Linked DNA regions of Astyanax mexicanus. The main gene of each other region encodes a partner of the protein of the gene in region 3 in a complex. Links are inferred from orthologs where the notes say so. Each region holds a gene or a part of one and is shown on either strand. Other genes may lie near its edges.

What was found.
Region 1: trmt112 (region 3) and trmt11 share a complex: the UniProt entries of both Homo sapiens proteins name them as parts of the heterodimeric TRMT11-TRM112 methyltransferase complex. The link is inferred for Astyanax mexicanus from reciprocal best matches to the Homo sapiens genes TRMT112 and TRMT11.
Region 2: trmt112 (region 3) and thumpd2 share a complex: the UniProt entries of both Homo sapiens proteins name them as parts of the heterodimeric THUMPD2-TRM112 methyltransferase complex. The link is inferred for Astyanax mexicanus from reciprocal best matches to the Homo sapiens genes TRMT112 and THUMPD2.

The regions. Positions count from the first base shown.
Region 1 is NC_064413.1:31,062,742-31,074,842, forward strand, and holds the start of trmt11 (tRNA (guanine(10)-N2)-methyltransferase homolog), read left to right. Parts: upstream 1-7,724; 5' UTR 7,725-7,762; coding exon 7,763-7,840; intron 7,841-8,067; coding exon 8,068-8,133; intron 8,134-9,524; coding exon 9,525-9,598; intron 9,599-9,888; coding exon 9,889-9,970; intron 9,971-10,068; coding exon 10,069-10,161; intron 10,162-10,415; coding exon 10,416-10,550; intron 10,551-11,876; coding exon 11,877-12,033; intron 12,034-12,101. Other genes in the region: si:dkey-29b11.3 (actin-binding Rho-activating protein-like), read right to left, coding at 1,551-2,021. UniProt on the Homo sapiens protein: Catalytic subunit of the TRMT11-TRM112 methyltransferase complex, that specifically mediates the S-adenosyl-L-methionine-dependent N(2)-methylation of guanosine nucleotide at position 10 (m2G10) in tRNAs.
Region 2 is NC_064421.1:32,504,939-32,516,010, forward strand, and holds the start of thumpd2 (THUMP domain-containing protein 2), read left to right. Parts: upstream 1-5,295; 5' UTR 5,296-5,415; coding exon 5,416-5,520; intron 5,521-7,246; coding exon 7,247-7,379; intron 7,380-8,502; coding exon 8,503-8,741; intron 8,742-9,034; coding exon 9,035-9,112; intron 9,113-9,168; exon of another isoform or gene 9,169-9,229; intron 9,230-9,295; exon of another isoform or gene 9,296-9,394; intron 9,395-9,460; exon of another isoform or gene 9,461-9,559; intron 9,560-9,658; exon of another isoform or gene 9,659-9,757; intron 9,758-9,790; exon of another isoform or gene 9,791-9,889; intron 9,890-9,922; exon of another isoform or gene 9,923-10,033; intron 10,034-10,300; coding exon 10,301-10,353; intron 10,354-10,448; coding exon 10,449-10,536; intron 10,537-11,072. Other genes in the region: ecd (protein ecdysoneless homolog), read right to left, coding at 120-312, 1,429-1,607, 2,714-2,919, 3,270-3,465. UniProt on the Homo sapiens protein: Catalytic subunit of the THUMPD2-TRM112 methyltransferase complex, that specifically mediates the S-adenosyl-L-methionine-dependent N(2)-methylation of guanosine nucleotides, most probably at position 72 (m2G72), in the U6snRNA of the major spliceosome.
Region 3 is NC_064417.1:41,865,483-41,876,135, forward strand, and holds trmt112 (multifunctional methyltransferase subunit TRM112-like protein), read right to left. Parts: upstream 4,075-10,653; 5' UTR 3,952-4,074; coding exon 3,877-3,951; intron 2,644-3,876; coding exon 2,542-2,643; intron 2,438-2,541; coding exon 2,345-2,437; intron 2,241-2,344; coding exon 2,139-2,240; 3' UTR 1,890-2,138; downstream 1-1,889. Other genes in the region: atg2a (autophagy-related protein 2 homolog A), read right to left, coding at 7,074-7,310, 7,878-8,030, 8,179-8,333, 8,449-8,570, 8,787-8,869, 9,121-9,190, 9,308-9,461, 9,540-9,624 and 2 more. UniProt on the Homo sapiens protein: Acts as an activator of both rRNA/tRNA and protein methyltransferases. Together with methyltransferase BUD23, methylates the N(7) position of a guanine in 18S rRNA.

The DNA.
Region 1 (12,101 bases), on a different chromosome or scaffold from region 3:
TGCATCTACAGCTCTGTTTAAACTATAATTTAACTATTCAGTTGTTTTATGACCTGATTTCTAGAGCAAAATTTTAAATGTAAAATATATATAGTCACACACCTATAATAATAATAATATACATTAAATCATATATAAATATATTTCACATTCAAACATTAACAATATTACTCAATTGGTTATTAAACGTTTCATTTCGTATACGTGTATAGTTAATAATTCAAGGGAACTGATGAAAAAAGCATTTACATTTACACCCTTTACATTTTAGTCGACTAAATTTACTGTAATTTTAGTAGACTATATTCTTATGACATTAAGTTGACTAAAACTAAGTCGACTAAAATACTGAATTGTGACTAAAACTAAATGCTATTTTCATCACAAAACTATGACTAAATTTGTTCAAAATTTGTTGTCAAAATGAACACTGGTGGCAAACCTGCAAGTAGATAGCTTACAGTTGTTGTTACATTGTTTGGTTTTAAATTGTTTTATCATCAATTTATAGAAGTGTTTCATAAAATTGTTTGATGAAATTGTTTCATAAGTATTTTTATAGAGTGATTGAAAAGGCTGTTTTATTTGTTTATCTATTTGTTAACTGGAAAGAAAAATAAAAGGATAATATGCAATATGTGGTTGCTACATTCATTCAGGCTTAAAAAAATGACAATATTGTAAGTAATCCAAAGTAATCAGATTACGTTACTCACTTGAAGTAATGTAACTGATTACGTTACAAATTACATTTTGAGTGATGTAATCAGTAATCTGTAAGGGATTACATTTTAAAAGTAACCTTCCCAACACTGTCTACCATAAGGCTGATCGAGCATTCACATATAGATCAATATTCACACAGTGCATATTAGGTAGAACTTCACATCAAAAGCAGCATTTCTGAGACTAGGCTACAGCCGAAGTAGGCTGTGTTTCTCTGAAGCTATGTCATAGAAGGCTGTTTCAAAGTAAACAGACCTGTGTAAATGGCTGAGAAATGCAATGATGTACACCCTTTCATGCCCTAAATTATCAACAGTTCTCTGTGCATGCACAACCTGAAAGAAACCAAAACAACACTTGAAGTTGTGTTGTTTCTGGTGATTTCACCATGCAGACCTCATTAGACTGTTCTTCATAGGACAGTCTTACTGAGGACCTGTGCACTACATTCTTTAAAGCTAGTGTGCTTGTGTGTTTAAGGGAATAATGGGAATTCCTAACAACTAGTAGACAGGGGGAGTACTGCATAATTCATTAAGATTCATTGGGAATTTTTCTATTTCTTCTTTTTAAAAGTAGAAAGCACAGGGTTAGGGTTGGTTCCTGTCTTATTATTATTTATATTATTTTCAAAGCATTAGTGCAAGTTGTATGTAATGTAAAGTCAGTTATTGGATTAAAAGTAAAGAAAGACATCTCTGATGACTCTCCAAAAAAGAAACTGTTGACCCCTGCTGCAGGATCAAGCCAGATGCACTGGATGTTATTTTGCACAGCCAGCTCTTTTGCATGCTTATGCAGATCGTCTTTGCATTGATGCATGCTCACGAAAGCAGCGAGATGAGCACTTGGTCGTCTCGTCCTTGCCACAGCATCTCCCCTTCAAAGTGCACCAGCCCCTGCCTCCGGGCTCGCAGCAGCACTCCCACCACCTTGTTAGAGATGCTCACGTAATGTTCAAACAGCGTTCCAAACTGCACGGCTGCCCTGCCGTCCTCTTGGCTCTCGCCGATTTCTCGGATGACCTGACACAGTTCCTGCACCTCCCTGCTCACATGGGAGTGAGCGTCCTGCCCTCTCTGCTCTGTTTTGGAACCCTCCGGAGGCCTGCCGTAGCTTTGCTGACCCTTCTGCAGCTGCACAGCCGGTGCCTCATTGTTGCTGAAGGGATTGTGTTTCTGATACTCCTGATGATCACTGGACCATTTCAGCCAGCTCTGTGTTAATCCTTTAACTGAAACATCACCGGGGTCTGCTCCGTCTTCACATGGCTTGGCTGCATCCTTTGTCTCCATAGTTTATTTCACAGCCATTGAAACCCCCTTTACAACAGTTGCCTCTGGAACAAAACACACTGTTAGTGATTCATTGGCTCTGAATAGGGTGCATTCATGTGTTATGGGCCAGCAGGTGATACAAGACTCTGGTTATGTTGTGTTTATTTACACTGCTAATGGGCACATATGCAAAACTGAATAAATTAATTTATCTTGGCCATAAGTGTAATATATGGAGTTTATGTATAAACATCATACAGTCATGTAAACAATTAGGATCCCTTGTCTTTTTAACATTTTTAAATAATGTTATATGTGATGTTTTGGATTGAGAGGTAGAACTTATCTAATTACAAAAACAAAAAAACAATCATTCATACAATGACATTAGGACACCTCTTACCACTTAAAAAGCCAAAATTATTCTGATGATTAGAACATAGACAGGATTTTGGAGGAGCCTGTCTTGTTTAAACCTCAGACATTTAGGCTCTGTTCAGATACAGATACAAATATGTTTCTCGAATATGATCTGTTGACATGAATGTCTGTACTAAAGTAACAAACCAATCTGTATGCACTGCAGAAATAATGACATAAACATTAGTAACTAAACATATGTGCAGTGGCGCAAAAAGGGGGTATGCAGCGTATTCAACACATAGGGGCGCTGCACTACAGGGGGCGCCAAATCGATGCCGGAAAATAATTTCTAGTCGGCATTTTCTGTAAGAGCTGTTGGTTCATGTATGATAATAGAATATAATAATAATATAATAATATAATAATAATACACAGGGGCGTGGCGTGGCCTGGGCTTCCAGTAGCCCCGAATCGTTTTACTCAGCTCAGCTGTATTATTAGTGAGGAGACAGGCCGCTGTGAATGGAAAATCTCTTGACGCGAATCACGGAGCCAGTTCTAGGATAAAGTTCCGCCTTTCAGGAGAAACAGCCAATCAGCTTGCTGGTTTGCGGAGCGCGGTGGGCTAGTAGGGAAGCCCCCGCCCAAGCCCCCCCACTGCCTCGCTGGGGAGGATTTTTGAGGGTTTTTAAGTTCTTGCACCGGGTTTCAGCACTGATGTTAAAACATATCTGGATATACGGAGATTTTTCTAAAAGAAAGGTAAATGAACTAACCATGTAAACTGTGACGAGATGTTTCTGATAGCTAGTTAAAAAGACCCGTCTCTGAATCAAAACACACAGACCAAGGTTTGAAAATGTACCTGATCAGCCAATAACTGTTTCATTTTCAAATTGTTTTTATTAATTTAGGATTGCAGGATTACTGTAAGCTATAATTAACGAAAATGTATTTAGCTAACCAGTTAGCTATAAGCTGGATGTTGTCGAAAGCCAGAATTTAGTATTATACTTAGTTTAAATTAGTTTTTTAACCCTGTTCTCTCCTCTAAAATTGTATGTTTTTCACCCGATCCAACTGATCAGCTAATAAACTTATATAATCAACTGGGCTGAGCCCCGGATTTTTAAATACCCAGGCAACGCCCCTGATAATACACATCAAAAAACAAAAACATGCACTCATCAGGCGCCCATACACTCCTTCTCCACCTGCAGGACAGGTGCTGTATTTACAATATAACCGATCATAACAAGTAAGTAAGTAGATGGTGAATCATAAAACTAATACGTTATAGAACAGGGGTCAGCACTGTATTTTATATTACATAACTGATATTCTGCATCTTGAAATCATTTTTGAAGGGGGGGGCGCTGGTAGTATGTTTGCATACACCTCAAAAAGTATGTAGGTTTACCCCTGCATATGTGTATTGTTGGATCCAAACACTTCAATCGCTCTGGACTTGATGTAGTTGTTACTTATCAAGCTGTGACGCAAAAAATCCAGGCTGAGAAACATCTGTAAAAATCCAACTGGATTTTGCACAAATTGGATATTTTTCAGTCTATATTTAAAAAAAAATTAATCAGTATACAACCATGATGTGCCAAAAATCAAATGTGGGCTGGCAGTCTAACTTAACAAATACATACTGTTGATAGAGTCCTCAAAAACATAACCTGTGGTCTTCCAACTGTGTTCACGAACATACATATCAATATTAACACACATTCTTGCTTTCTGTTTGCTTTATTTTGTTTATTTGTGTTTATAAGTCACTAAAGTGTACCCTGTCACCTGGTGGCCCATATCACCTGAACCTACGTTAAGAGATCCAGCTACAGTGATCCTTTAAATTATGTATCAGGTAAAGTACAGCCAACAGCACTGTAATCACAATTGTCTTTGCTCTTAAATAAAGAAATTGTTGCAGATGCATTATTTTCACACTGTAGTATAAATATCTTGTAATGCAAAAAAGCAATCTACTGAAGATTTAAATAAATATTTTCTGACTTTCCATACATTTAAACTCTCTTAAAGCAGTAAACAGCTCTAATTGAACAACAATGTTCAATTTACTAAAACATCTACCTATAAATTGCAAAATCAGAATAAATGATTCAGAAACTAAAGTGGTCTCATTTTTTTCCAGAGCTGTATATTGCAATGCAAAAAAACAATCTATTGTCAACAATATTTAAATAAATATTTTCTGACTTTCTCTAAATTTTAAATCTTTCTTTCCATTTACAGTCGATGGAAAGAATGTATAGCAAATAAAAATTTAAAAAATGTTGCAGATGCATTATTTTATTTAAGAAATACTGTAGCTCACACTGCAAAAAAATATTTTGTCAAAAAGAAATTCCTGACATTTCTTGACTTTCTATAAATTTTAACCTTCTCTTTTCCTGTACAGTAGATGTGAGCAATGTATAATATTTTTTTATTGTTGTGTATGCTAATCCTGCCAAAAACAGAAACAAGGACGCCTCGAAAATGTGAGAATTAATAATACATAAAGAACAATAAATAATAAAATAATAAAAACTTTCATTTTACCAAAGTGCATTTTTTGCCCATATATGCAGCAATGTGCTGCCAGGGACAATATCACTCCATACATTCAGTAACTAAAAAAGGTAAGAATATAACTAAAAATATGTAGTGTATGTATATGTAGTAAAATAAGAGGCGTATAAGATCTGCACTAAAGTGCACAGACACTATACAGAGCTCCGAGAGGGTGGATATAGGGGGGGAAAGTAGTGAGAATGAGAAGAGAAAGAATTAAGGGAAACGATAAGAAACAGTTACATCGTTATGTTGTGTTCGTTGGAAGTAAAGGATTAAAGTAAGGAGAGTTTTCTTACCCTGCTCTTTATGAAGAAGAGCTGCTCCAGTGACAGGGCGCTGCTGCTGCTGCAGACACTCACACACTTTCAGAAATAACAATAAGACAGAACTGCACGACTTCTGATTGACCAGTGAAAAACACACCCTCAGACATCACTGTGAAGCTGTCCACTTTTTCACCTGCTTTCTTACCTACGCCTGGGGAGTCTAAATCCGATTAAGAGACACATTTAGAGCTGCTACTGAATCCTCTCGAAAGCAAGAGTCTGTTCTGGTCGTTTATTCTAAAAAACAGCACGAAGACAAGCAAGAAAAGTCCAGAGACTGAGTGAAGAGTGAGTAAAGCCTGTGTCTGAGTTGTGTATTCTCCTGGTTTATAAGGTTAGTTAACGTTAGTTAGTGTGAGTAAAGTCTGACAGCAGGGCGGAATATAGACATGTACACATAGACGCCGCATCGATTGACGCCGCCTATTGGCGCTGGCGTATCAGTGAGGCCGCCATATTGGAGGAGTCAACCACGCGCCCCAGTTATTAGTACTGAGGAAGGTGAATAATGCATCTATAATAATCACAACTCTACCAATTTATACCCAATTTCACACGGTTTGTTTTGTTTCTAACAGCAGAGATGTGATAATGATACAAGACGCTGTCTCACATTACAAATACGTGTTTTCATGTTGAAATACTTTAAATTATGCTCTTTTACAAAGACAGACATCTGGTATAGCATATAAATAAATGTATAAATGAATTCATTTTATGTTTATATGTACGTACACACACACTTAATACACTTAACCATACCTGTCAAGTCTCCCGTTTTGGCCGGGAAACTACCGTATTTTACTCCTCTTTCCCGCCGTCCTCCCGTATTAGTATTTTCCCGTAAATTTCCCGTATTATATTAAGATTAAAAAATATATATTATTGAGGAGACAGGGCACTGACCGCGCTGTGTCTCTTAACCAATCGTGGAGCCGGTTCAAGGAGAAAGTCCCGCCTTTCAGGAGAAACAGCCAATCAGCTTGCAAAGGAGAGTCAGTGTGGTGAAGCCCCTAGTCGCTGTGAGTTCAGGCAGCTAGTCGGAGCTGCTGATGTTAAAACATATCTGGATATTCAGCGATTTTTTTTAAAGAAAGGTAAGGGTAAGCTAATCATGTAAACTGTGATGAATTTTTTCTGATAGCTGCTTAAAAATACTCGTCTCAGAAATAAAACACAGATTAAACCTTTTAAAATAAAAAGATTACAGCTTGTGACTCAGTTTAACTAGAAATGTGGAGAGGACCGAAATTAACTGAACTGATCAGGGGTTGAGTAATCAAAAGAAAGAAGTATTAATTAAAAATTATTAATTGTGTAGGCCACTTAGGACTAATTTTTACTGATGGAATATATCTGGTCCATGTCCTTTTAGTAAAGGCTCATAATACTATTTCTAGGTCACATACAGTCATTTTGCAGAATTTGTGCACCCTTTGTTCAATTTTAAATCTATTAAATAAATAAAAAAATATATAATATAAAAGAGTGCATTTATGGCAAAAAAGACATGAAATCTTAACTTTTTTTATATCTAGAAAAGGATTTTTAATTTGGCTGTATTAAAAGAATGACATATGTAGGAATGTCCACAACATTTCAGATTCTGATAATCTAATTGTAGTGTGTAAGTGGTTCACATGTGGTTATTTTAGATTTTTTGTAAACGTGTCTTAAAATGTAAGGGATACTGAACCTTCGTTGGGCTGGTGGGACGGCTTTAAGCGGACAGAGGAAAATATCCCTTATTTTTAAATCTAAAACTTGACAGGTATGCACTTAACACATTAATATGCCATACCATATTTCTGTCTGTTTCTTTGTTAAAGACCATAATACAAAGTATTTCAGGAAGAAAGCACATATTTGTAACGTGAGACAGCGTCCTGTATCACAACCACATCTCTGCCGTTCATAACAAACCAAACAGTGTGAAAATCGGGTAAACATTTTCAGTACTAATAAATGCACTGGAGAGCATGGTTGACTCCTCCAATATGGCGGGCAGTGTTCTGTCGAGTTGTACTAACTTGTCAAACCGTGCAACGGGACGATATAAAAAATGCTCCCGACAGAGGAAGATTTGGATGTTCGGATAAGCTACATCACTGTATCAGGCAAAGTTATGGTCATATAGGTGATTAGAACCCGTTTTTTTAAGTTTATTATGTATATATTTTTTATTTTCCATTTTTTTTAAATTACCATTTATAGCTTTGTAACATACAAGCAGGTGCTTTGATGCACCAAAAGAAAACAGAATTATCATAAAACACATGAAAACATAAATAAGGACGATTGGCGCATGCGCAGTGCTGTTAAGAAGCACATATCGGTGGGTAGCATAACTCGACAGAACACCGGCTGCTACTCCAGGAGGCAGGCTATGCTGCATATCTCTTTGTATACATGTCTTTGGGGCGGAACCCGCTGTGTTGTGGTTGAAGCTGCTGCGCTCACCCGGACGAGCTGCAGCACTCAAACATGGCGCTGCACTGTGGCAAAACATGCCGACAGTATTTACTCCATTTAGCTCACGATAACGTGGACTTCAGACTCCCGGTACGGAATTTAACTGTTTTAAACTGTTCAGTCTGTTAATGCAGGTGTTTGGAGATGTCTGTTTTGTGAGATGTGATGCTGTAAATCAATATATTATTAGCTGGTTTGGTTAGCTAAGCTAGCTAACCTAACATTCTCAGGCTGAGCTTCATTCACTGACTGTTGATGAATAGCTGTATTTACAGTGATAAGTTTAAGTAACTCTGTGTGATTTTTCTTTCTTTCAGGAAATTAAAGCATTGCTGTCCCTCAGGGGTCGACAGTGTGAGCCTTCAGAAACCTTCAGAGAAAAGGTGGAGTCATTCCTCTTTATTTAATTAATTAACTATGCACTGTTGTTTTAGATTTTGTGGATGTCAAAATAATAATAATAATAAAAATAATAATAATAATCTTAATATTCTGTGTGAGCGATACATACATAACAATTTTAGTTTTAGTTTTTTAATTTTAGTTTTTTTACAGCACCATCTAAAGTCTTGCTTAAGCGATTTGTTTCCTTTACATTAATTTTTTTTATTATTATTATTATTTTTTTTTTTTTACAAATATTAGGCATTCCCTTACCTTACAGCAGCTTCTGTCCTCTGACAGCTTCTATATAAAAGATGTACAAGATGTCGATTATCCCATTTTTATGTGTCAGTGATTTTTTTTTTTTTATATTTTACACTTTTCTTAACTGAAATATAGGGATGTTATATTTGCACTATGTTTTATGTAAAAGCTGCATGTAAAAATGTTAAAATTAAATGTAAAGAAAACAATAGCTTGCGCATCAGTTTTAAATCATGGTTCACCAGTCTTATTCACAATGGGTTGGTGTGCGTGCTAAACTACACAAGATGTGTCTTTGCTATCATTTACGGATATGATTGGGTGACCCTTGCTTTAAATGGTGCTGCTTGTTTATGAGAATTGTGCATATATTTTAAAAATAATAAGATTATAATTTTGTTTTTGCAATATATCTCAACCCAGTCAAATGTTTGAACGCACCTTCTCACTCAGTATTTCTTTACTTTATTTATTTTCTACCTTATACCCTCCTGTAAGACGCTGAGAAGTTTAAAACATATTCTGGTTTGTTTAACACTTTTTATTAACTACATAATTTCGCATGTGTTCCTGCATAGCTTTACTGTCTTCAGTATTACATTAACAATGTAAAAAAAAAAAACATAAAAAAAAAGAAAACACACTAAATGAGAAGAGGTGTGTCCAGACTTTTGACTGGTTCTGTACATGAGTAAGAAATGAGGGTAGCCTGGACCACTTAATAGAAAAGCTCCCAGCATTAAAAAAGAGTAGGTTGGATGTGTGGTTGGATAAAGTTTAATGACTTAACAGAAAATGCTTCCAATATTAAATCAGTAGTTAGGATGTGTGGGTAGCCCACATCACTTATCAGAAAATGCTCCCAGCATTTAAAACAGTAGCTAGTTAAAAGGCTTTACACTAGATAAAGGAACATGGTTCCACTGATTTGAATTTTAACCACAATTTTTTTTATTGAAGCCAGGTGCTGATGTTTATATGATTTACTTATGGATCAAAAGTGACAGGGGAGCTTTATATCCATGGTAAATTCATGCATTGCTGCTCTCATGTGTTCTATTCAACTGGCAGGGCGTTACAAAGCTATTTATGCTCAACAAAATTTCGCTGATTTTTTTTTTCACAGTCTCCGTTTTGGCGACTGCATGGCTTGTCTGAGGAAGATGTGCGAAGTGTCATGTCACGGACTGTCTGTGCCAAGTAAGTCTCATTCGTGTTATATCACACTAAGCGGTTATTCACTTTCAGTAATGTGAACATTAGCACAGTTCTTCCTACCTCAAGGCCACCTTGTGCAAGATATCATAACATAATATTTGCTATATATTCAAATATTGATAGTAGTATTTGTGAATGTAACTGCAGGTTGTGTGATGTTTTTATGTAAATGTATGTTTACACTCATTCTGGGCCTGGAAAATCTATTTTAAGGGTGTGTTTTAATATGTTGTGTAAATGCATTCTATGTTTTTTTTTCTTTTCTTCTTAAGGTCTGTGTTTGAGCTTTGGGGTCATGGGAGAACAGCAACTGAACTGAAGTCATCATTGATGGAATATCCCAGGGAAAGCATGGTTTGTGTTTTTTGATTTAACAGTTTAGTCCACATTTAATATGCTTTTTAAAATTAAATCAGATTTTTTTTGTCCTTAAACCTTGATGTATATTCCAGGCTACCTTTCTACAAGATCAATCAACATACAAGATTAATGTCTACACTTTCAACAAGACACTGCTGTTCAATGACAGAATAAAGAAAATAGATGTGAGTACGCTGATATAACCACAACATTGCAGTTTTTTTTTTTTTTTTTAAATCGTTGCATTATTTGCATAGAAGACCACTTTTTTTTATCTGTGTGACCTCTTAGAGTAGGCATGGAGAATGTCGTCAAATCCTTACGTTCTTAAATAGTATCTTGAAGCTGCCTGTTTTTCTTTGTCTGACAAACTACAAAAGGAATAATAAAACTGAGCTGTGATGTTTTTTATGACAATGAAATTGCTGTCACTCCACAGGCCTTGGATTACCTGCCATTTCAAGGAAAAGTAAACCTGAAGGATCCTGATCACATTTTCTGTTTATTTGAAGACTATGGACTAGACCCAAATGACATCCCAGAGGAGCCACTCTACTTATATTTTGGAAGATGGGTGAGACCCATTTTTTCCAATATTTCTCGCAGTTTATTAATTTTTAATTCCAATAGTTTGGATGAAGTACTGGAGGCAGGCAGGGGATGACCTAATTAGACAGCAAAACAGGAAGTGCCAGACTGAACCACTTGTAGCCCTTATGATTAGTATCATGATTAGTAGCTAAAAAAACACAGGGTGTGTTTATGGTAGCAGCTTTTTGTTTTCATGTCTTTGTTTTACAAGACTTACAAGGTGTCCTCTATGATTCAGGCTAGAACTAGTTGATTGGGTTCAATATTCAGAACTATGGTGATATTAGGCAAACATACAGCTGTATGGAGTAAGACTAAAACTTAATCATTGCTTATTAAATCATATGATCTTAATATTAGTGTTAAAACATATTTTGATATATACATGTTCTTTTTTTGGGTTACATTGTGGGTAATTTTCCCAGACAGTGACTAGGCGTAGTCATAGACTAGAACTTCCTTTTAATGGTAAATCTCCATTTAAAATGCTGTCTATTCCAAGACAAGGCTTAATCCCTGTCATGGGAACTGTCTTGTTTGTTTTTGACATGGATTGTTAAAGCTATAAAATTAAATATTGCTATGGCTGCATTGCACATAGCACATGTATTTACTGAGCAATCTATAACTACATAAAATGCTGCTCTAATGGTGACTAGTTTTGAAGCTTTGTGTTGTGTGGTAGTGTATGGATTGGGACACAGCCACGCTAAACTAAAGCATCATACAGAGAGGAAGTTAAATCACAGGTGTGGCAGGGCAAGTCTGCACCCTCAATGAAGTCTGCAGATGTTAGCATTGTGATGTTGGTGGAACTAGTTGGTGATATTAGAATTTGACCATTCATAAGGCAAGCTGCAAGATTGCATACAAAACAATCATCTTGTGACGTTGTGTTTGTATTGTATTCTCATTTCAAACTCACCATCTAAAAACAGACCGATCTGCTCAGGTGGTCCACTTGTTTAGTACGCTCACAATTACTCTAAAATGAATTGTCATGTTAGTGCCTTTTGTTAATCAAACTAAAGCTAACAACCATAAACTCACCCTTAGATTAGATGAAACAGGATTGTGGGTCAGTTTAATTTTTGTTGAGAATCAGCATCACCTTAGAAAATTTGCATTTCTTTGGAAACGTTTATTCTTCCAAAAAAGACAAAGATAAAAAAGGAAACTACAGTAGTTTTTTATTACTATCTTGGATTGGGAAATATAAGACTAAATTTGCATTTCAGTATTTCGCTTGAACCGTGCCCTGTCTTTAGCAGCATTTGGCATCATATTTTTACCTGTTTCTTTCTTTTAGATTTCAGATGGGCAAAGGGAACTGATCCGCTCTCACAGTGTGAAGAAGAGGCACTTCATTGGGAACACCAGTATGGACGCAGGTCTTTCTTTTATTATGGCAAACCATGCCAAAGTAAAGCCTCTGGATCTGGTCTATGATCCTTTTGTTGGAACAGGTGAGGAAAAAACTGTGTAGCAAATGACAGTTGGCTAACCTATGAATTACTTTTTATTATTTTGCCAT
Region 2 (11,072 bases), on a different chromosome or scaffold from region 3:
CAAACCTGCACTGTCAAGTTAAATAAAACCTCTGTACCTTCCTTTATCAGTGTGTAGCACGCCTGTACTACATTAAGCTGCTATAACACAGGACTCTCAATGAATGTAAGCACACTTACTGATGTGAGGACCCTGGTGTCGGGGGGGAAGGTCTGGAACGTTCTGCAGGCCTGCAGGTCTATGGGGTCACGCAGATAAAAAGCAGAAACAGCGGGGGCTATCAGGTCCGGTCGCCGTGACAACAACGCAGCTATACCGGCAGGAACGTAACAGTGAGCGTGATGGAGACTAGTCTGGATCTTATCTGGATACCTGTACAGACAGAGACACACACACACACACACATCGATTATTAATCAGATAAAAAAGGGGGACAAAAAAAGCTACATTTGATTTGCAGAATTTTATTTAAAAAAAGCAAACTGCCTTTGTACTAATGCTGTCATTTTAAAGAACCTTTACAGAAATATTAGTGTTTACATGAAGAATAAACCCAACAGTTAAAGTAATTTTACTATCATCATCATTTAGTAACACAACAGCAGTGCACGTAATGTAAACATACACTCTGCTGTTATTCTTAAACACTTCCACACAATGTCAGAGTCAGACCTGAATATTATTGAAAATCTGTGGTGTGATTTAAAGCAGGTCGGTTCATGCTCAGAAACCATCAATCCTGACTGAACTGGAGATGTTTTGTAAAGAAGAATGGTCCAAAATACCTTCAATACCAGAAGCCAGACTCTCATTGGAAGTTATAGGAAGTTTTTAGAGGCTGTTATTTCTGCAAAAGGAGGATCTACTAAATTATATCATTTTTGTTTTGCAGTGCACAAATTTATGCACCAGCCTAATTTTGTTTAAAAAAAATATTGCACACTTTCTGCAAATCCTATAAACTTGATTTTCTCTCAAACATCAGTGTTCATCTTCTATATGATATATTTAACTGAAATTGCTGATCCAAACAACCACTGATTTCTAAAGATAAATCATGAGAATTATCAGAAGTGCCCTTTTTCATACCACTGTATGTTTGTAATAGTTTTATGTGTGAGTTTTAAAGTTAACATTTTTTAACAGATTCTGCTCTTGAAGTAAAGGTTAGACACCAGATACAGCAGTGCTGCTGGAGTTTTTAAACACTGTGTTCACTCACTGTCTTCCACTCTATTACACACTCCTACTTAGAGATGCTCCACCTTGTAGATGTAAAGCTGGAGACATCTAGAGATATAAGTTCATTTGTTACTGCACAGATGTTGGTCATCCTCTAGGCCACAATTATAGATATATTACATAACTACAAAGTGATATGATCAAAATATGATCAGTGAAGCTAATAAGATGACTGCAGTAACAAGAGGTTAGCCAGACTATGTATATTTTTTCTCAGAGATCAAGCCAAGTAGCCTCGTCTCTCACCCCTCCAATCTGTGGTCAATTGCAGATCGGATCCGTTTTTCTGCAAGACAGCGGTCAGCATGTTTGTGCAGCATATCCAGAGCATCCTTCAGCAACGGCACTGAATCCCGAGGCCAGCCAACTTCTCCAGAACGACCACGATTGGGTAATATGTACAGCCCCCCCCGGTACAAGAACACCTGTATAGTGATGAACAGACAAAGCAACCAATCAGCAGACAGCCAGGCATTCACTTATTCACAGGAATAAACATACAGTGTCTTGCAAAAGTATTCATACCACTTGAACTTTCTCACAGTCATCTTACAACCACAAACTTAAATGTATTTTATTGAGATTTCAAGTGATGGACAAACAAAAAGTAGCATATAATTATGAAGTGTAATGACAATGATACATGGTTTTCAATTTTTTTTCCAAATAAAAATCTGTGTGATGTGCAAAAGTGCCTCCAGTTGTTTTTTCCAGGATTGCTGGTGTTTAGCTTCATCCATCCTGCTATCAACACTGATCAGCTTCCCTGTCCGCGCTGACGAAAAGCAACCCCACAGCATGAGGCTGACACCACCACGTTTCACAGTGGGAATGGTTTGTTTAGGGTGATGAGCAGTGTTACTTTTCCACAACGACAGTGCTTTGCATGTAGGCAAAGAAGTTTAACTTTGGTCTTTTCTGACCACAGTACCTTTTTCCACATGTTTGATGTGTTGCTACATGACATGTGGAAAAGTGCAAACAGCAATTCTTATCTCTTTCTTTCTACAATGATTTTGCTTTCCTTGTAGAATACCTTTTCCATATTAGGATGATTGATTGAATAGTGCTCCTTGGGTGCTCAAAGCTTGGGATATGTTTTTATAGCCTAACTCTTATTTTAAACTTCTCTCCAAGTTTACCTCTGACCTGTCTGGTTAGTCCCTTTATGATATTGTTTGTTCATTAGTGTTCTCTAACAAACCACTGAGGCCTTTAAAGAACAGGTGTTTTTTATACTGAGTCTAAATTACACACAGCTGGACTTAATTAACAAATTAAGTTACTTTTATTTAGGGGGTTTCAGAGCAGTACTTTTGCACATCAAAGATTTTATTTGAATTTTGAAAACCATGTATGAATCTCGTGTTCTGCTTTAACAATTATGTGCTACGTTGTTTTGGTGTATCAATTAAAATCTCAATAAAATACATTTAAGTGTGTGGTTGTAAGGTAGCAAAATGTGAAAGAGTTCAAGGGGTATGAATACTTGTGCAAACCACAGTAAACATAATACCTCCTCTATGCTTACCCTGTTCTCACTGCTGTCGGGGTCGAGCCATTTGGGCAGATGTTCGGCCGCCTCAATCAGCAGGAACTGGCCGTCATTGTCATGGACAGTGGCGGCTAGTTGACTGAAGGTGCGTGTAAGATGTTTGAGCAGGTAAACGATGAACCACTCGTCCTCAACGTTATCACCAAACTCTGTGCTGCCTCCCAAGTGTGCTGGGACTCCCCCTAAAAAACAGATTTAGCACTGTTTAATAAACAGACACATGGCAACTCTAATAAAACATGACATTAATTAGTGGATTGTGAAGTTCCTTTAGTCATAATGGGTACATCCTTGTGTACACTACTCTCAAAGTTCACTTCAAGAATACACAGTAGTATTACTGTAGAGCTGCAACATCGTCGATTTTTTAAATTTGCTGACTCCAAATGTCAGTGTTGACTAACCGATAATTTGTTAAAAAAAACAACAACAACAACAACAACAACAACAACAACAACAACAACAACAACAACAACAACAACAACAACAACAACAACAACAAGCATTTAAAACTCAGGCTGTAGGCTCCTACCTTTCTCTGGACGGTAGCTGAGGTTGAACGGCTGCTGCTGCCAAATGTACTGCACCAACAGAGGAGCAACTTCAGCCAGCAGGTCCTCCTGAAGCTTTAGGAGGGTCTGTTCACTGGCCGCAGAGTCTGGCTGGACTAGAAAGAGCCTATAGTGAACCACATCCTCAGGCACAGGCACTTTCTTAAGAGGGTCCATCACAGTGGTTGGTAGTGCTGAGCAATCTATCAAAATAAGACAGTAATCAGTAGGGGTGTCACGATTCTCTAAATACTCGATTCGATTTTATTTCCGATTTTCTTTTTTCTTTTTTAACAGCAGAGATGCCTATGCCAGTTTTAGATTAGTCTATGGTCATTCATTGGTTTGATTCATCAACTTTACAATATCTTATTTCAAAAGGTGGGCTCGATATAAGTGATACGAATTGATACAAGTGATCTGTAATACACCACATTAGGCACTAATGGTCAAATTTAAATAATTCAATTAAGATATATATGTAATGCCATCTAGTGGCTTTTTTGGTAGCAGCAGTGTGCACTATTAAAACAGCAATATGCAACATAATAATGCAACAAAAAATATATATAAAAAAAGGAACAGTCATGTACAAAATAATAGAACAATTAGAGCCTTAACAAACTGAACTCTATCCTGCTATAACAGTTAAGCATGAAAAATAAGACTTTAAGACTTTTTCGGTCCCTGAGAATGACAATTTTTCTTTAACAAAAGATATATTATTAACTTTATCTAAGAGAAAGATGCTCCTTAAGGTACCACAACTATTAACATATTTGAGGCTAGACAAAACAACTGTTATTTTTATATTTTCAATTTTTTTTTGAGGAGATGAGAATGTCCACATTCTCTGGAGAAATGGCTGCTCTTTTCTACCCTATTCTATCTGTTTAAATAGAACAGTTTATTTAGGAGTTATACGAATTGTACAATAACACTGCTAGATAAATGTAATGTAAGTTACATGTATATATTACCCAGACAGCAAAGTTAATTTTTCCATCGCTAATACACTGAAACAACATTGATCTCTAATGTCAGAATGTATTATTTTGTGCACATCGAGCAGTAACAGCATCTGTTCCAGCATCGCTTTTTTTAAAGAGAAAAATCTGAATAAACTTTATCAATAAACCTGATCATGTTCCTTTAGCAGTTAGCTAGTCATGCAGTAACGTTATTAGTTAACATCATAACTGATGACTCCAACAAGAAAAACCTGAGTATAAACTCGGTTCTAAAAGATACAGAGGCGTCTTAAAAGTTCGGACGTGTCTATAAAGTGAGCAGGATTCAAAACCGGCTGATTTAAGAAGCTTTCACTTACGCTACTGTTTATTACTTCACTCCATCAGACATGTAGAGCTCATCCAGAACGCAGGCTTGATGTTTTGCACATGCGCACAACACACAACCTAAAGCTACTCACCAGCTTAGAAAGAGTCCGGTGTCAAATTAAAAGTTCTTGCAAGCGCAAAGATAAAATTGTAAATGCAGCTCAGATGTACAGCTCTGGAAGAAAAATTAAATAATAAGAGACCATTTCAGTTTCTGAAACAGTTTATCTGATTTAGCTATTTAAGGTCTATTTTTGAGTAAAATTAACATTGTTGTTTTATTCCATAAACTACAGACAGTTCTCCCAAATTTCAAATAAAAATATTTATTGTCATTTATTTTCAGAAAATGAAAAATGGCTGAAATAACAACAAAAAAAAAAAACTTTCAGACCTCAAATAATGCAAAGAAAAAAAAAAGTTTATATCCATTACTCTCTTTCTATATTACTTTTTTTTATTTCTAAGATTTCACATGGCATCCACACTGAACCATCAGCACATCAACATCTTCTGATCTAAGGTGTGAATTTATGTTTGTGTCTGAATCTTCAATATATAAAATAAAGAAAATAAAGAAAAACATTAAATAAAAAGTTGTGTCCAAACGTTTGACTGGTACTGTATTCCTAACTAATGCTTTTATTTTGGCAGGTCGCCTAGTCTAACCCGGATGTTGTATGGTTCTGTATGTCCTGCAGAGCCCATGCGTTCTTGTTTACATCAGACAGATCCTTCAGACTGATTTAATCTGTATTAATTCAGTATATTTATTTGTGTAGAGCTGATGATGAGAGGGGCGGGGGTCTCGGCGGGGTATTACTGCACTGCAGGCGGCGGTATGGAGACCTTCCTGCTGGATGAAGTCAAAAACAAACTGAAAGCTACTGAGGTAACTTACAGAGTTCTCCCCACAGTCCTGATATAAAGTGAAGTTAAAACCGATTTAAATCGAATTAATGTAAAGTAGAGTTAAAACTGAGTTAAACTGAATTAAACTCCCCACACTCCAGATATAACGTGGAGTTAAAACTGATTTAACCCGAATTAATGTAAAGTGGAGTTAAAATTGAGTTAAAATGAATGAAACTCTGCACACTCCACATACAAAGTGAAGTTAAAACTGAGTTAAACTGAATTAGGCTCCACACTCCAGATATAAAGTGGAGTTAAACTGTATTAGGCTCCAAACTCCAGATATAAAGTGGAGTTAAACTGCATTAGGCTCCAAACTCCAGATATAAATTGGAGTTAAAACTGAGTTAAACTGAATTAAACTCTCCACACTCCAGATAGAAAATAGAGTTAAAACAAGGTTAAACTGAATTAAACTCCCCATACTCCAGATAGAAAGTGGAGTTAAAACTGAGTTAAACTCACCACACTAGATAGAAAGTGGAGTTAAATCTGAGTTCAACTAAATTAAACTCACCACAATACAGATAGAAAGTGGAGTTAAAACTGAGTTAAACTGAATTAAACTCACCACACTTCATATAGAAAGTGGAGTTAAAACTGAGTTAAACTGAATTAAACCCACCACACTCCAGATAGAAAGTGGAGTCATAATTGAGTTAAACTGAATTAAACTCACCACTCTCCAGATAGAAAGTGGAGTTAAAACTGAATTACACTCACCACACTCCAGATATAAAGTAAGGTTAGGCTGAATTAAACTCAGCACATTTCAAATAGGAAGTGGTGTTAAAACTGAATTAAACTCACCACACTCCAGATTTACAGTGGTGTTAAAACGAGTTAAACCGCATTAAGCTCACCACAGTTCAAACCTTTAAAGTCCTTGCCACCGTACACTACTCACTGTCCACTTTATTATAAACACATAGCTACAGTTTTTACAGCTGTGTATTACTGGAAAGCAAAAAACTGTAATCAGCATTGTGTTATTACATTAGCATGATGTTATGTAATAATTAGGGGTGGGTGATATGATTATAAAATAATGTCAATATTTATTATTACAAAATATATATTATTTCAAGAACATACTACTGCAACAAAATTAATATATTTTTTTATTTGGTGATATTATTGCTTAGATTGCAGTTCCACAAGCTTTTGGCTAAGTGTTGGAGTCCAAAAACATTTGGCTGAATGGCGGAATGCAAATGCATTTAGCTAATAGTGTCCACAAACTTTTAGCTAAAATGAAGAGTGGCTAAACTTCTGCCCAAAAGACTGTTGGATAGTTTTATGAATATAAATCATAAAACTATAAATCATAAGCATATATGCTTGGTTCTACAACTCTGCTGAAATGTGTTTTTGTAGCTTAAAAATTGTGGGCTGTAGTTAGGTTACAAATTTCTGGTTGAAATTAAATTTACACATTTCAGGGCTTTTTTTTATGGGAGTTTGGGCCACAATGTTATGAGACTACAGCTTGTTATTATGATACTGCTGTTGCAATTATGATTATACATTTTTGTAATTATGACACAATGTTTTGTAATTATAAGAAAATACTTATTTATTAAAATATATCACTAAAACGGCATGTGGTGTGACAGAATAAGAGAGAATATGATATTTAGTAAACTGTTTAAACCATCGTTATTCTGATAAATGAACCTTTTACTTGTGTGTCTGTGTGTTAGGTGGAGCATATCCCTGGCCGAGTGTTTTTCCGCTGCACTTCAACTCTACAGCAATTGATGTTATTAAAATCTGCAGAGAGGCTCTTCCTGCTGCTGCGCAAGGCTCCTCCCATTACCCTGCCCAAAAATCCAGGTGTGCTGCTCGCATCATACAGGTGTGCAACAAACTTAAATGCGCAAGATTTGTAGTTACTTCTTATTAGAAATTAGAATATTATATAAGACTTAATTACTACTTTTGGCAGTGTGGGCTTTGTGGCAATTCCTGCTGGAAAATAAAATTTGCATATTTGTAAAAGTTGTCAGCAGAGGGAAGCATGAAGTGCTGTAAGATTTTTGGGGAAAACACTGCAGTGACTTTAGACTTGATAAAACACAGTGGATCAACACCAGCAGATGACATGACTCTCTAAACCATCACTGATCATCAGTTAATTTTACATTTCATTTGGAAATCATGGAACCAGAGTCTGGAGGAAGAGTGGAGAGACACACAGTCCAAACTGCTCGAGGTCTAGTGTGAAGTTTCCACAATCAGTGATGGTTTGAAGAGTCATGTCATCTTCTGGTTTTGGTACTCTCTGTTATATCAAGTCTAAAGTCAGTGCAGTGTTTTCCTAAAAAATATTACAGCACTTCATGCTTCCCTCTGCTGATAACTTTTATGGAGATGCAGATTTCATTTTCCAGCAGGACTTGGCACACTTCCCACACTGCCAAAAGTACCAATTGGTCTTATATACATATTCTAATTTTCTGAGACTCTGACTGACATCAACAATAAAATAAATGAACGCTTAAAATAGATCACTCTGTGTGTAATACATCTATATATATATATATATATATATAACTGAATTAATGAAATAAAGTAACTTTTCAACAATATTCTTTCCAATACAATACAGAACATCTGTGTTACTGAAAAGGGTAAAATATGGATTTATTGGTGTCAGATTCACAACACAAACGCTTACTGCAACTTTTCCGTTTATTGCATTAATATTATTCCAGTGTTGTAAAATAGCCACAAACTGCCATAAATAAATTTAAAACACAACTACACTACTGTAAACTGTAAGCTGTGTAACATAAGCTTACAGGAGAAAAAAATTAAAACCAAAATACATTAATTCAGTATTTAATGGCATATATTGATAATGAAAACTATACAATATATTGCTGTATCGATACATTCTCACACCTATATTAGGTCAATCACAAGTATGTCTTACTCTTGAAAATTCTTTCTTCAGCGAAAGCAGCGGACGTAATAAAACAGAGCATTGTGGGAAATCGAGATGTTTGGAGCCACACCCTCAAGTCCTGGACCTCCCTGCAGGCGGAGCTTAATGGCCCTCAGGGGCGGGGTCAGAAAAGAAAGAGGGATGAAGGAGAGAAGGAGGAGAACAGCAGTGAGAGTGGTCAGAGTCGCCCCACCTTCAGAGTCAGCTGCCGCTGCAGTGGAGCCATCGCTCGCTGCTACAACTCCCAGGTGTGTGTGTGGGGGAGGACATACAGAATTTATATACAGAAGATATACACCAACATGCCAAAACATTATGATGGCTTGCATTTTGATGGACTCTGAGATGCTCCAATACACACACAAAAGCATTCCTGCTTTTTCAATGTTGTGCGGCCATAAGAGAAATAACTGACAAAATGATTAATAAATAACATGTTCTAAATGTGAGCTTGTGATCACAAATAAACAGTACAATACAAATAAATCTACACATATATTTTACTGTTGGTTTGACATTTACCTTACCTTTACCCTTATAGAATTTGAGTCGTATCATTGGGGTGGCCATCAGCCGACAGCTTGGGTGGAAAACTGATCTTCGAGATCCATCCATTGAGGTAAACACTAATCCTAACCTTAATCACAACCATAACATTACTAATCCTAACCTTAACCCCAACCATAACATTACTAATCCTAACCTTAACCCCAACCATAACATTACTAATCCTAACCTTAACCCCAACCATAACATTAGTAACTCTAACCTTAATCACAACCATAACATTACTAATCCTAACCTTAACCCCAACCATAACATTACTAATCCTAACCTTAACCCCAACCATAACATTACTAATCCTAACCTTAACCCCAACCATAACATTAGTAACTCTAACCTTAATCACAACCATAACATTACTAATCCTAACCTTAACCCCAACCATAACATTACTAATCCTAACCTTAACCCCAACCATAACATTAGTAACTCTAACCTTAACCCCAACCATAACATGAGTAACTCTAACCTTAACCCCAACCATAACATGAGTAACTCAAACCTTAACCCCAACCATAACATTACTAATCCTAACCTAAACCCCAACCATAACATTACTAATCCTAACCTAAACCCCAACCATAACATTACAAATCCTAACCTTAACCCCAACCATAACATGAGTAACTCTAACCTTAACCCCAACCATAACATGAGTAACTCAAACCTTAACCCCAACCATAACATTACTAATCCTAACCTAAACCCCAACCATAACATTACAAATCCTAACCTTAACCCCAACCATAACATTAGTAACTCTAACCTTAACCCCAACCATAACATTAGTAACTCTAACCTTAACCCCAACCATAACATTACTAATCCTAACCTAAACCCCAACCATAACATTACAAATCCTAACCTTAACCCCAACCATAACATGAGTAACTCAAACCTTAACCCCAACCATAACATTACTAATCCTAACCTTAACCCCAACCATAACATTACTAATCCTAACCTTAACCCCAACCATAACATGAGTAACTCAAACCTTAACCCCAACCATAACATTAATAACCCTAGCCTTATTACTAACTCTAACCTTAACCCTAACATTAATATCTTTTATCTTAATACCAACCACAATGTTACTAACCACTGTCTTAAACCCAACTTTAATGTGGATCTGCAAAATAAACCTCTTATATTTTATTTACATTTACAATTTTGTTTTACTTGTGTCTCATTATCTGTGCTGTGTATGAGCTTTGTGTTTTGTCTTCTCTTGAAAAAACAGGTAAATGTGTACTTAAATGATGACCACTGTGTGATTGGCATCCCTCTCTTAAAGTAAGTCTCTAAATGCAGCTCTGTATCATAACATGGGTAAGTTCTGTGACTTGTACCAATAGTGGAGCCAATGTTGGTCCTATGTAATCCTCTAGGCATCCACTGGCCAGTCGCAGTTATATGAAGCACACTGGGCTAAGGTCCACTGTTGCCTGGGCCATGGCGTCCCTCTGCGCTGTACAGGTAAGGTTTTGTAGTCTGTTTCTAACTGTTAGAAAGATACATCATCAAAACTGTGGTACATAGAGTGTTTGTCTAAATATTTGTTGACACTCATAGTAATGAATGCATTCAGTACCTTTAAGTTGCGCCCACGGCTGACACGTACTTATATACACACAGGTGTACACACACACAGCTTGTTTTTGTCCTTGTAGAGAGGTACTGCAAATAGAATAGTAAAGACTATTTGGAACAGATAAACATAAATGTACAGTCATATAAAACATTTAGGGCACCCCTATTAATCTTAATCATTTTCAGTTCTAAATATTTGGGTGTTTGCAACAGTCATTTCAGTTTGATATATCTAATAACTGATGGACACAGTCATATTTCAGGATTGAAATGAGGTTTATTGTACTAACAGAAAATGTGCAATATGCATTAAACCAAAATTTGATGCAAAAGTTTGGGCACCCTTATCATTTTATTGATTTGAATACTCCTGGGAGAGTGATGCGAAAGAAGCCATTTCTGCAAGCACGCCACAAACAGAG
Region 3 (10,653 bases):
AAATAACTCTCACTGGGCCAGTGTTTTCAATTTGCTTCACCTACTGCTGTCTTCTTACTTTAGAACTAACATTTAATTTATTACACTGAAATGATTAATATCCACCTTAACACTTCAGTCCTTTCATTTGGACTACACCCTCTCTTTCTTCTACCTCTCCCTTCCCTCCGTCTCATTGTTAATTACAGTTCATGAACTACATGATCGTTAATCTTTCAAAAACAGCTTTACTGCAGATCTCCACCTCCCCCATTATAAGGTTATTATAGTGGCAGTCAGAGGGCTGTAATTGAACTTGAAGAAGTGGGCTAAACACAAGACTAAACGCTGAAAGGGCTTAAGAAATGCGCTCCAAGGCATAGAGACACCAAGCTATGAATTCTTTAGTAGGGTGGTTGATACCACTGCATGAAAATAGAGTGTTTTTTCCTGTTGAAACATGACTTAAGGATTTAAGCGTTTATTCAAACGCAAGAGGATAAGAAAAGGAAAAATCCTTATTTGGATTTGGAGGGTTTGGCGACACCTAGCGCCCACTGAAAGGGATAAGGGCGGAGGGATACAGCATACAAGGTTCTGGTGGTTAGCGGAAGGATTAAAATACTATATTTAAAAATAGCGACCCCCCCAAAAATGTAGTGCTTTTTTCTGGCTTCTCACAGTCTAAATATAATCTCAATTTAAAACTCCACGTCATCCTGAACTCAGAGCTTGGCATGTGAAGTTTTGAGAAGCTTCACAAAAAAAAAAAAGAAAATTAGGCAAACTTTAAAAGAGCCTGCAATTAAATGGGTCCAAACACCTTGTTGACATTTTAACAGTTCAGCATTCTTTTAATGTTCAGATCTATTTCAATTTAGGTATCACAGAAATGCACAAAGGCTTTGGAATCAGTCAGATGTTGTTCAACACACAGCAGGTAATTGTTATGATTTTAGAAATCTGTAGTGACTTATAATTAAGACATACTTCAGTTTGAACTGTCTGGAAAACCAAATACACTAAATACCAGGTACAGCAGTGGTGTAAACACTCCAAAACAAGTTTATTGAGGTGGTTGGTGAGGTAAAGTAATATAAAAAAAAAAATCTAAAATGAAAACATGATCACAGATCGCAGCTTAAAGGTGTCTGTGCAAGTATACTATTATATTGATAGTGTTTTGGTGATAATAGTCAGATAAGTGGAACTGCATTATATTGCAATGAATAAAAGTGTAGCATGTCTGTTGGTTTGTTTTAAGCTTAATTTTTTGTTGTATTTTAGCATAATTTATTTACTAAAATGTAAATTATTCACAGTTTGTTAATATGAAATGTACACTGTAGAGAAGATTATGAGAGTGGGTCTAAAACAATGTCTAACATTTCAGTGCAATGTCTAAAACAAAATGTAGCCAGTTCATTCACAACTCAAAAGAACCGGTTAATTAGTATGTTGTCTAAATTGCACATAAAGCAGATAATGGTAAAATATTGGTAAATAAGATTGTTGATAAGAAAAACCTTTACTATTTTGCAATGCAATGCCCAGCATGTATTTTACTATAAATGTATATGTATTTATAGTAAAGTAAATTAAAAGGAATTGCTTTATATCGTAGCCATTTAGTGTTATCAAACCTACTGATTTAGTTTTAATGTGTAAAGTTTGCAATTACCATTTAGTATATAAGTGCGCAACTGTGTACAAGAAACAACTTGAAGGATAGACAAAGGCAGACTACATAAATATGAACATAAATAAAAACCCACCACCAGAGAGCAGTGTTCCCAACGTCCTACTCTGAAATTATGGTGAAATTTTGCCACTGTACACTATGTGTAGAGTTGCTGAATAATATACCTTACATTGTTAATTTATGTGAATAAAAATATAGTGATTGCAAGTTTTTTTAAGACAATACATATTTATTTTAAAGTATATTACAAAGCATAATAAACAAACAAACAACTTAAAGAACAGGGCATACAAGAGCTGCAAGAATTAGGGACAATTTTTCATTCTTGCCAATATTTCAATCCATGTCCATCCATTCATTTTGAAGACTTGTTGCAATCCAATTTAACTCTGCTTCTGTCCAATTTAACAACAGTGGTTTTTTTTCATCATTTGTAAAAAGGAAGATGAAACATCACCTATGACTCATCTTCATTGAGCAGCATGTTGGGGACTCCTTTAGAGATGGGGAATTCTCTGCCTGATTCCGGACACTGTAGAGATCCCTCAATGACCTCCACCTACAAACAAGAAGACACTAACAGCTGTGAGTGAGGTATATTACAAGTAATACTCTGTATTTTAACTGATTACTGATTTTAAAAATAATGGACACATATCTTACCTCGAGCAGAACTCTGTGTACTTTACGTAAAAATTCTGCATCATTCTCATAGTTTTCTATGGGTGTGCCAGGCAAGTCCTGCAGGTGTCCCAGCTATAAAAACATATGACATGTTCACCATCATTTCACTGAAACAACCTAAAACAGTGATGCAGTTTGAAAAAGATCATGGTCCCTATAACCTTAGTACCACTTACCCCTTCCGCTGCCTGGATTAAAGCACTCCACTCAAGCTTTGGTATCATTCTGCTCACAAACTGAGGGTTGAACTCCACTTCGTTCACTTTGACCTCTGTGGCCTTCGGAAAATGGCAATATGAGAATATTTTAATGTATTTTGATACATTTTAACATTTTATAATACATTTTTGTAAGCATATCAAATAATTTCAGTGCTTGACCAACTGTGACAAAAAGTGTAATTAGTCCTGATTAACTGGAATACGTGCAGTATTTAAAAAAAAACTGTAGTATGTTGCAGTCTGTTTGACACAATATTTAATATTGGTTGTTAAGGTGGTGTTAATGTGACCAGAAAGTAGTAGAACAAACTTACTTTTATAATCTTTAGATAATTTAAAACAATAAAACTGGAGAAACATAAGTATAGTGAGGAAAGTGCCTCCTGAAGAGCTGCGCGAGGATTCTAGAGATTGCTTTGGATAATTTATCATCTGTTAGCCAACAACACTGATATATATGACCTGAACACAACTAACTGAAATGCCATTTCTGCTGCATCCAGCTTTGTGACACGCCCTGGATATTACAGACATTATCTTATTTACACCTGTAAACACTTTTGAAAATAGGCTTTAAAACCCATAGACTTATTTTCTGAGTGTAGCTGAAGCACCAAATCACAGTCAGAACATTCTAACAGTAGAGGTAAGCTCCTGTAATCAAGGAAACTTGTGCATTGCAGACTATAGCTACTGGTTTTACAAATATCTGGAAACGTGTGGACGGGCCTAATCAAATGTTATTATTAATATTATCCTTTGGGCAGCTTTTATTTGCTCAATTTTAAATGCAATTTGTTTTAAAAACAGTAAACCAAGAGTTTACTATCATTACACTGTATGGCAGTAAACACAAACGACTATACAGTTCTAAAGTCTAGTCCTAGAAAAAACACGAGTATTGTTAAATTAATTAATAAATAATCATTATGATGATCATGAAACGCCTGATATACAGAAGAAAGTGAACTGCAGGAAATTGTAGGGTTTAATAAGAGCAGATTAACCCGTTGCTGCTGCTGCCCTGCCTGGGTTTCTGTGTAATACAAGCCTGACTAAACTGGATGCGATGCTAGCTTCAGCATTAGCTACTGAAGAAGACAAAACATCAGACACACACAACACCAGCAACACAACTGAACAGCTAATACAACCTGAGGTGGGACAGAAAATTCCAGATAATCTGTTAAATTAAAGGCCAACTTCCGATTCATGCCAGTATGGAGACATTTAATGAGTGAACTAACGTTACTGGATACTAGGTTTCAGATGAGCTAGCTAACTGCTTACCTTTATCAGGAGTGGGTATCCATTAATTACACCTTTAACGTGCGAGGTGAGCATGTTGTGCGTCAGCAGCTTCATATCTGTGTAAGCTGGATCTACAGGTTTTGTGTAAATATAATAATATATAAGTTATGCTTAGTCGTTAGCTTTCCTTAGCGCCTCACGTGTATTTCTGCTTCTCGGATTAAACAGCGGCTACAGCCAACATCATAGACCACACATACTGCCCCCTGCAGGACACAGTGGCACAACCGTGAACTGAGTTACACTGATCAAATAAAGTATAATGAGTAAGATCTAATTCGTTTTCCAGACATATTAAAAAGCATATTAAAATAATATGGACTTTAATAAAAATAACTGTTAATACCAATTATTGCCGTAAAATAAAATCCAATAAAATGAGAACGCTTTTTTGTTTTGTCCCAATTAATGAAAATGCACATTCATTTAACCTTATTTCAGTATTTAAGGCAATATATCGAATTCGAATTATTCAGGAAAGTCAGTTTAAAACAACACATTTTTGACACCAGAAGTCAATAAAACAACAATAAAAACAAAAATTCTAGCAGCTGTCATGCAGACTTTCTGGACAGATTCAGTGTTACTGGCAGATACAGCTCCAGAAAAAAATAGAGAATGTTGAGGTTTTAAAGTTTAATGAATAATATTTTTATACTTATTACGAATATAATAATATATTAATATAAATATTATAAATGGCTGTTTAAAGAACAAATCACACTAATTAATTAACAGTTAAAAAGTACATTAATTTGTTTACATATCATTTAATATATATATATATATATATATATATACATTTGCTAGATTAAAAAAAGTTTTAAATCTTTCTGTATTTTGTGTCAAAATGTTTTTTATATTCTATATAAATATATATCAATTTATAAAATATAAAATAAAATATTTAAAAGAAATCACACTTATTATATTACATAAGCTGTGATAAATTGCTACTGACATGCCATTATGAAATATAGATATAAAGCAATGTATATAGATACACCTGATTAACATACTGCCACTTTTAGTTTTAAAAAATATGCCTTGGTTGAATTTGTATTAATTTTAATGCAATAAATTGCTATTATATCACACCTAATGACATACAGATAAAAAGAAAAACGCATTGTTTATAGACACATCTGATAAACATAGTATAACTTTTGTTTGGTAAAATATAACTTCAAAATTTAACCAAGGCATATTTTTCAAAACAAAAGTTGTAGTATGTTTATCAGGTGCTATAGAGTACAAGTGATTTTATATCTGTCTTAAGAGTGTGTCACAGTAACAATTTAATTCAAGGCATATTTTTCTTATATTTCTCTAAAAGTTGTATGTTTATCAAGTCTGTCTCTACAAACTACAAGTGATTTTATTTCTGTACGTTTTCACTGCATATTTTTCTAAACTGTGGCTAACGCAATGCATGGTTTAGACGCATACTCTGTTTTTTGGTGTAGATGCGCGACCGAGCTTTTTCTAAGAGGCAGCATTACTCTACCCGGTTCAAACCAGGATTATTACAATATTGTAATTTAGAGCATTTATTTGCAGAAAATAAGAAATGGCTGAAATAACAAAAAAAGATGCACAGCTTTCAGACCAGGGCTGTGCAAAATTCAGAATTACATTCAATTCAATAAACATTGAATTGAAATTACAGGAAGTGGAATTGAACTCATTGAAATAATAAAAAAAAAATCATTCTTATTAGTGAGTGTGATAAATTTTAACATACATTTTCTTCCAAATGTAAGTACAGGCACTAACATTAAGCATACATTCCCTTAATGTTAAATAAGTAACAGTATCTTCATTAAAAAAAAATGTGTATATATATTTTTGCAGATTGTTCAGGTATAGGAAAAATGTTTTTGAAAAGCAAAAAATACAGTCACCCCTACAATATAGCTATGTAATTCACATCCATAATTACCAAAGAAAGTACACCTTTATTCAAATGTACATGTTTTATTATTTTTGTATTAATTTGTTTACACATTGTCTTGGTATTATACAGGTCATTCTTACAGCTTATGATATAGCAGTAATTACAGAAAAAACACATAGCCAACAGATCACCTCAACAAAACAATGATCAACCCACTAACATGCACCTCTGCACTCATCCACGCATAAGACACTGTGTACATACACACACACACACACGCACACACACAATCCTACACTCACACCACTTCCCTTAATTTGTACTGTTTTATGTTTAACAAAAAGTGTGAAGTATTACCCACAAACCTCTTTCCACGCTTTCAGTCACTGAAAGCCATCCCTCATACACAGACATCATCACAATGAGTATGATAATCATGTTGTTAGTCATAATTACAAAATAAAATAAACAGTTTTAAAATTTAGAAAGGCAATAACAAGATGGAGCTAAGCAAGTCTGAATTTGGGAAAGCAAACAAAAAGGCTTTTTTTAGCAAAGTTTTTATGAACTACAAATCAAAACAAAATAGTGATTGATTAGAAAACTAATGCGTGGGTGCTATGCTACAGGAGCATGTATACGGTATACTGGCATTAGGAGGAGACAGACTTTGTCAAACTAATGGTCAAACTGATTGTTGCTCACCTTAATAGTGAACAGAAGTATGGCACAATAAACACCAGGGTCAGAGTTATGTGAATAGTCCAAAATCATAATCAACGGCTTGATGTTGACAGATATTGTCTCATTCTTCTACGCAGACATGAGCAATGTCACAGTTGTTATAGATGACAGAAAGAAATACTGAGCAATTTGAATAATTAAAGAAAGACAGCTAAACATCCTCGATGCCCCAGGTGTGTAATACGAGAAGGAAAGAAACAATAAACAGGTAATTTGGTAAATGGTAAACAGTGTTCAAGATCGATATGATTGCATACTTTCAGATAAGATGAGACGGCAGCGAATTGCACTTGGCCATCTACAGACAGCTTTGCTTGTACCAAAGTGCACACAGAAAATGTTTGCATTGCATGAACATGAAAAATGTGCAACTAACATCTGGAAGCCACTTAAAACATCTCAGGCTTAGCTGAGTGACAAATTTGTTTTCTTCTCCTTCATCATCATGTCTGAATTAATACTCACATTTTCACTCGCACAGTCACTCTACCATTCGCACTAGCAAAAAGAGTCATTTAGCAAGCATCTCTGACAGTCATTCTTGGCCGTCTTCTGTGCGCCACTTCAAGAAGTCCTCCTTTCGCGCATCAGGTTTGATTTGGTTCCGCATGCCTCCGAGTAAGTTGGACGTGGCCTCGGATGCCACTATTAAGGGACGCACCACAGTGGGTGGGATTTGACGCAAAACCCCACCGACCGCCCCTGGAAGACCTTTCTGCTCGTGCCCACGAGAAGCCACGTCACACAGGGTCTGAGCCGTGTCAATCACTCCCTGCAAAGCAAAGAAAGAGGAAAAAGGCTTCATCAGCTGAAGTCACAGTTAATAAGTTAACCTGTTAAAATACCTGGATGAATGAGTGTGGAGGTGCATGCTTGTGGGGAAATCATTTATTTGTTGGGGTGATCGGTTGGCTATTTTCTACTACTATTACTACTATATTATAAGCTGTATGCCTGCCATTGTGTATTGTGTACATCTATTAGGACATTTGAAACATTACAGATCCAATACAGGCAGCCAAGTTACCATGTTAAAGGGTATAAGTGATACAGCAGAAAATGTCCTTTATACAGTATACATATCAGTGTTAAATGCATAGTGTGTTTAATTGCAAGAGGCTGTATAAAAATAATACAAATAATAATAATAAAAAAATGTTTTTAGGTCATAAATCCAGTAAACAAAAGATAAATGTAGTAAATGGACTTTTGTGGCTTTCAGTCCCTGGAAACATTTTAGTGTTTTCCCTGCTTTTAGCACACTGACCCACTTGATTAACTGACTAGCTTACATCTAGTTTACATCTAAGCATCAATGAAAAGAAAGGCAGAATTTTACCTCTCTGACTGTGTCATAGGCCTTGGCCACCCCTTCTCTGAGGTCTGCTGGTTGGGGGGTTCGCCTGGGACGGGTGGCGGGGCGTCCTTCTGTGATGTACCGAGTCAAGGGTGGAGTTGGTGACAGGATGTCGTACACAGTTTCTGCAGTGGCCTGTGGAACAATACTTAAACTTTACCATTTGTGAATTTGAATCTACTGAAAGTGCCATTTATATTATTTTGGTGAACAGAACAAGGATCTTAAATGAGAAAACGAAAAAAGCCTGATCTAGAATGATCAAAGATATAAGTGAATATACCTGTATAGCCTGCACCAGCCTGTTGCTAAGCTCCAGGGCAGCAGAAGCTGTTGAAGTGCCAAAAGATGCTGCCCCCCTCTGTAGGCCACGGATAATGCGCCCATCTCTTCTATACTGCTCTATAGGCATCCAGAACAGATCCCGCACTCCATGGACTATAAGGAAGTAGAAAACAACCATAAACAAACCAGGGTAAAATATTAAAATATTAAGACATCACAGACATATATAAAAACGCTTTATATAAAGTGCTTTATAAAGCATACTCACAGAGCTGAACTACAGAATGCATTGGACCAACACCTCCCAGAATGCCTGGTAACTGATTCTTCCTGATGTCAGTTAGCCACTCATTCACAGCATACTGAATGACTTTATCAACACCCAGCAAACTAAGAGAAAAAGAAACATTAAACTTTTTTCTTAGAGAGATAAAAAGACAGATTAGTCTTTTTTAATTGGGGAACACATCAATACTAAGATATAGTAGGAAATCAGACTCGCCAAGCTATTCTAAACAAAACACTATGTATAAATTAAAGAAGTGTTCAGATGGGGGAAAAAAGGAGGCAAAATGTGATTTATGTAAAAGAAATTGAGCTAATTACCCATGCCTGCAGCACAGCCTCTTCAGCTTCAGCTCTGAGCAGTTCAGCTGGGCAAGGCCAATCAGAATTCCTGCAAATGTTCCCTTACAAAACAAAACAAGCTCTTAAATTACAGGATTAAATACAATGCACTAAGTAACCAAACAAAAATGGCCAGTTTGGCTGCACTGGTCAGCAGTCTTAAGGCCCTTTCAAACTGCATTCAAAAACTGTTACTTATGGACTGTTGTAAAGAAGAAAAAAACATTTTCTTTAGTGTTTGAAATAAATGAATCTTTTAAATTAAAAAGTCTGATTGCTCTTATATAGAAGTTTGTATTTTCTAAATTCTTACCTGTTCAATGGCCACATGCTTTCCATGGTAATCAAGCCAGATGGGAACTTCTGAGGTAAAACGGAACTCTCTGACAGGAGACAAAAATATTAAAACAGCTGTTAATCAAAAGATACAAACTAAGAAATCCGAGAAAAAAATAATACAGTTTGTTGTAATTAGACTGTAAATCTGGTACATGATTTACCTGAAATAAATTGGCTGGTCAGAAGAAGAGGAGGAACCAGCTGAAGAGGAGCTCTGCTCACTATAAGTTGTCTCCACAGAAGCAGTGAGATCAGGACCCAAGCCAGAGACAGGTTCTGCATCCTCTGACTGCTTTTGTGTAGCATCTGCCTTCACTGTAAAAGAAGGATAGGACAACGTATAAGAAATCTGCAAAAGCATCTATCCACTGCTAAATGTTGACTTGGGCTTACCTTCAGCTGCAGGGTCAACAGGCAGGTATGGGTTAACCCCAGCAGCCAGGTTGCTGAAGTAGTCCTTCATGAAGAAAAGTGCATCCTGGTGGAAATATAAAAAAAATTGGTTCTGTACAATTTTTTGTGTTCGTGTTATTTTTCAAAGGCTCCTGTTCTATTGATTCATGCAGTAATTCTCTTCAAGCATTTCTACATATTCAGATCGGTTGCAGTGGGTGCAGCTTAATGTAAATGACTGCAGTTACTAGAAGGAGTGTCCACAAATACTTGGACATACATTGGGTTGTGTCACTGTCAAAACATAGTAACTTTACAGGGGAAGAAAAAAAGTAAAGAACATTTTTATTCTGAATTAATTTTGGAGAATTTATTATGAAATAATATAATAATGTGATGGACAGCTGCTGTATTCAAATGATCCATATAAATAAGATACATATTTTTCTTTGGACAGTGGTGCGTGAACAGCGCTGCCACCAGTCTGCCAAATGAGCACTAGCAAAAGTTCCAACATAAAAAACGGAAGCCAGTAAAGCAATAATGTGGCTTACCTGGTCTATGTTAAGTCGGAGGGGCAGCAGACTGATCCTCAGGCAACATTCTGGGCCCCCCAGTCCAGACTCAGGAAGCACTTGCAGAGCTTTTACTGTCAACTACAAGACACATACATACAGCTAAGTTAAATACATACTGCAGCAATGACTAAATATGGGTCTTGAAGACAGTGGCTAGACTTATTTACCATGTTGGAGTGGGCTCTGCGGGGCATGCTCTCGCTGGTGTACAGGTACAGGAATTTGTTGATTTGGGATGAAGCCAGTCTGTCGCGCACCTCCAGCTCCTGCACGATGAACACCTGCCGGGATAGAGGCTGCTCACCGATCCCCGGGCCATCCACATCCTGCCCTGGGACTGCAGGGGGCGTCACCACAGGGTAGGATTCGTGCTGGAAACTGACCTAAAACAATAAACAGAAGGTTTATACAGTTCCTATACAGCAACAGTGTGCTGTGTTGTACCCATCTGCTAAAATGTACAGATAGTAAAGTAAAACACTCACTGAGGAAGAAACTTATATTATTTGTCACGGTTGCATCTATTGCTTGTACAA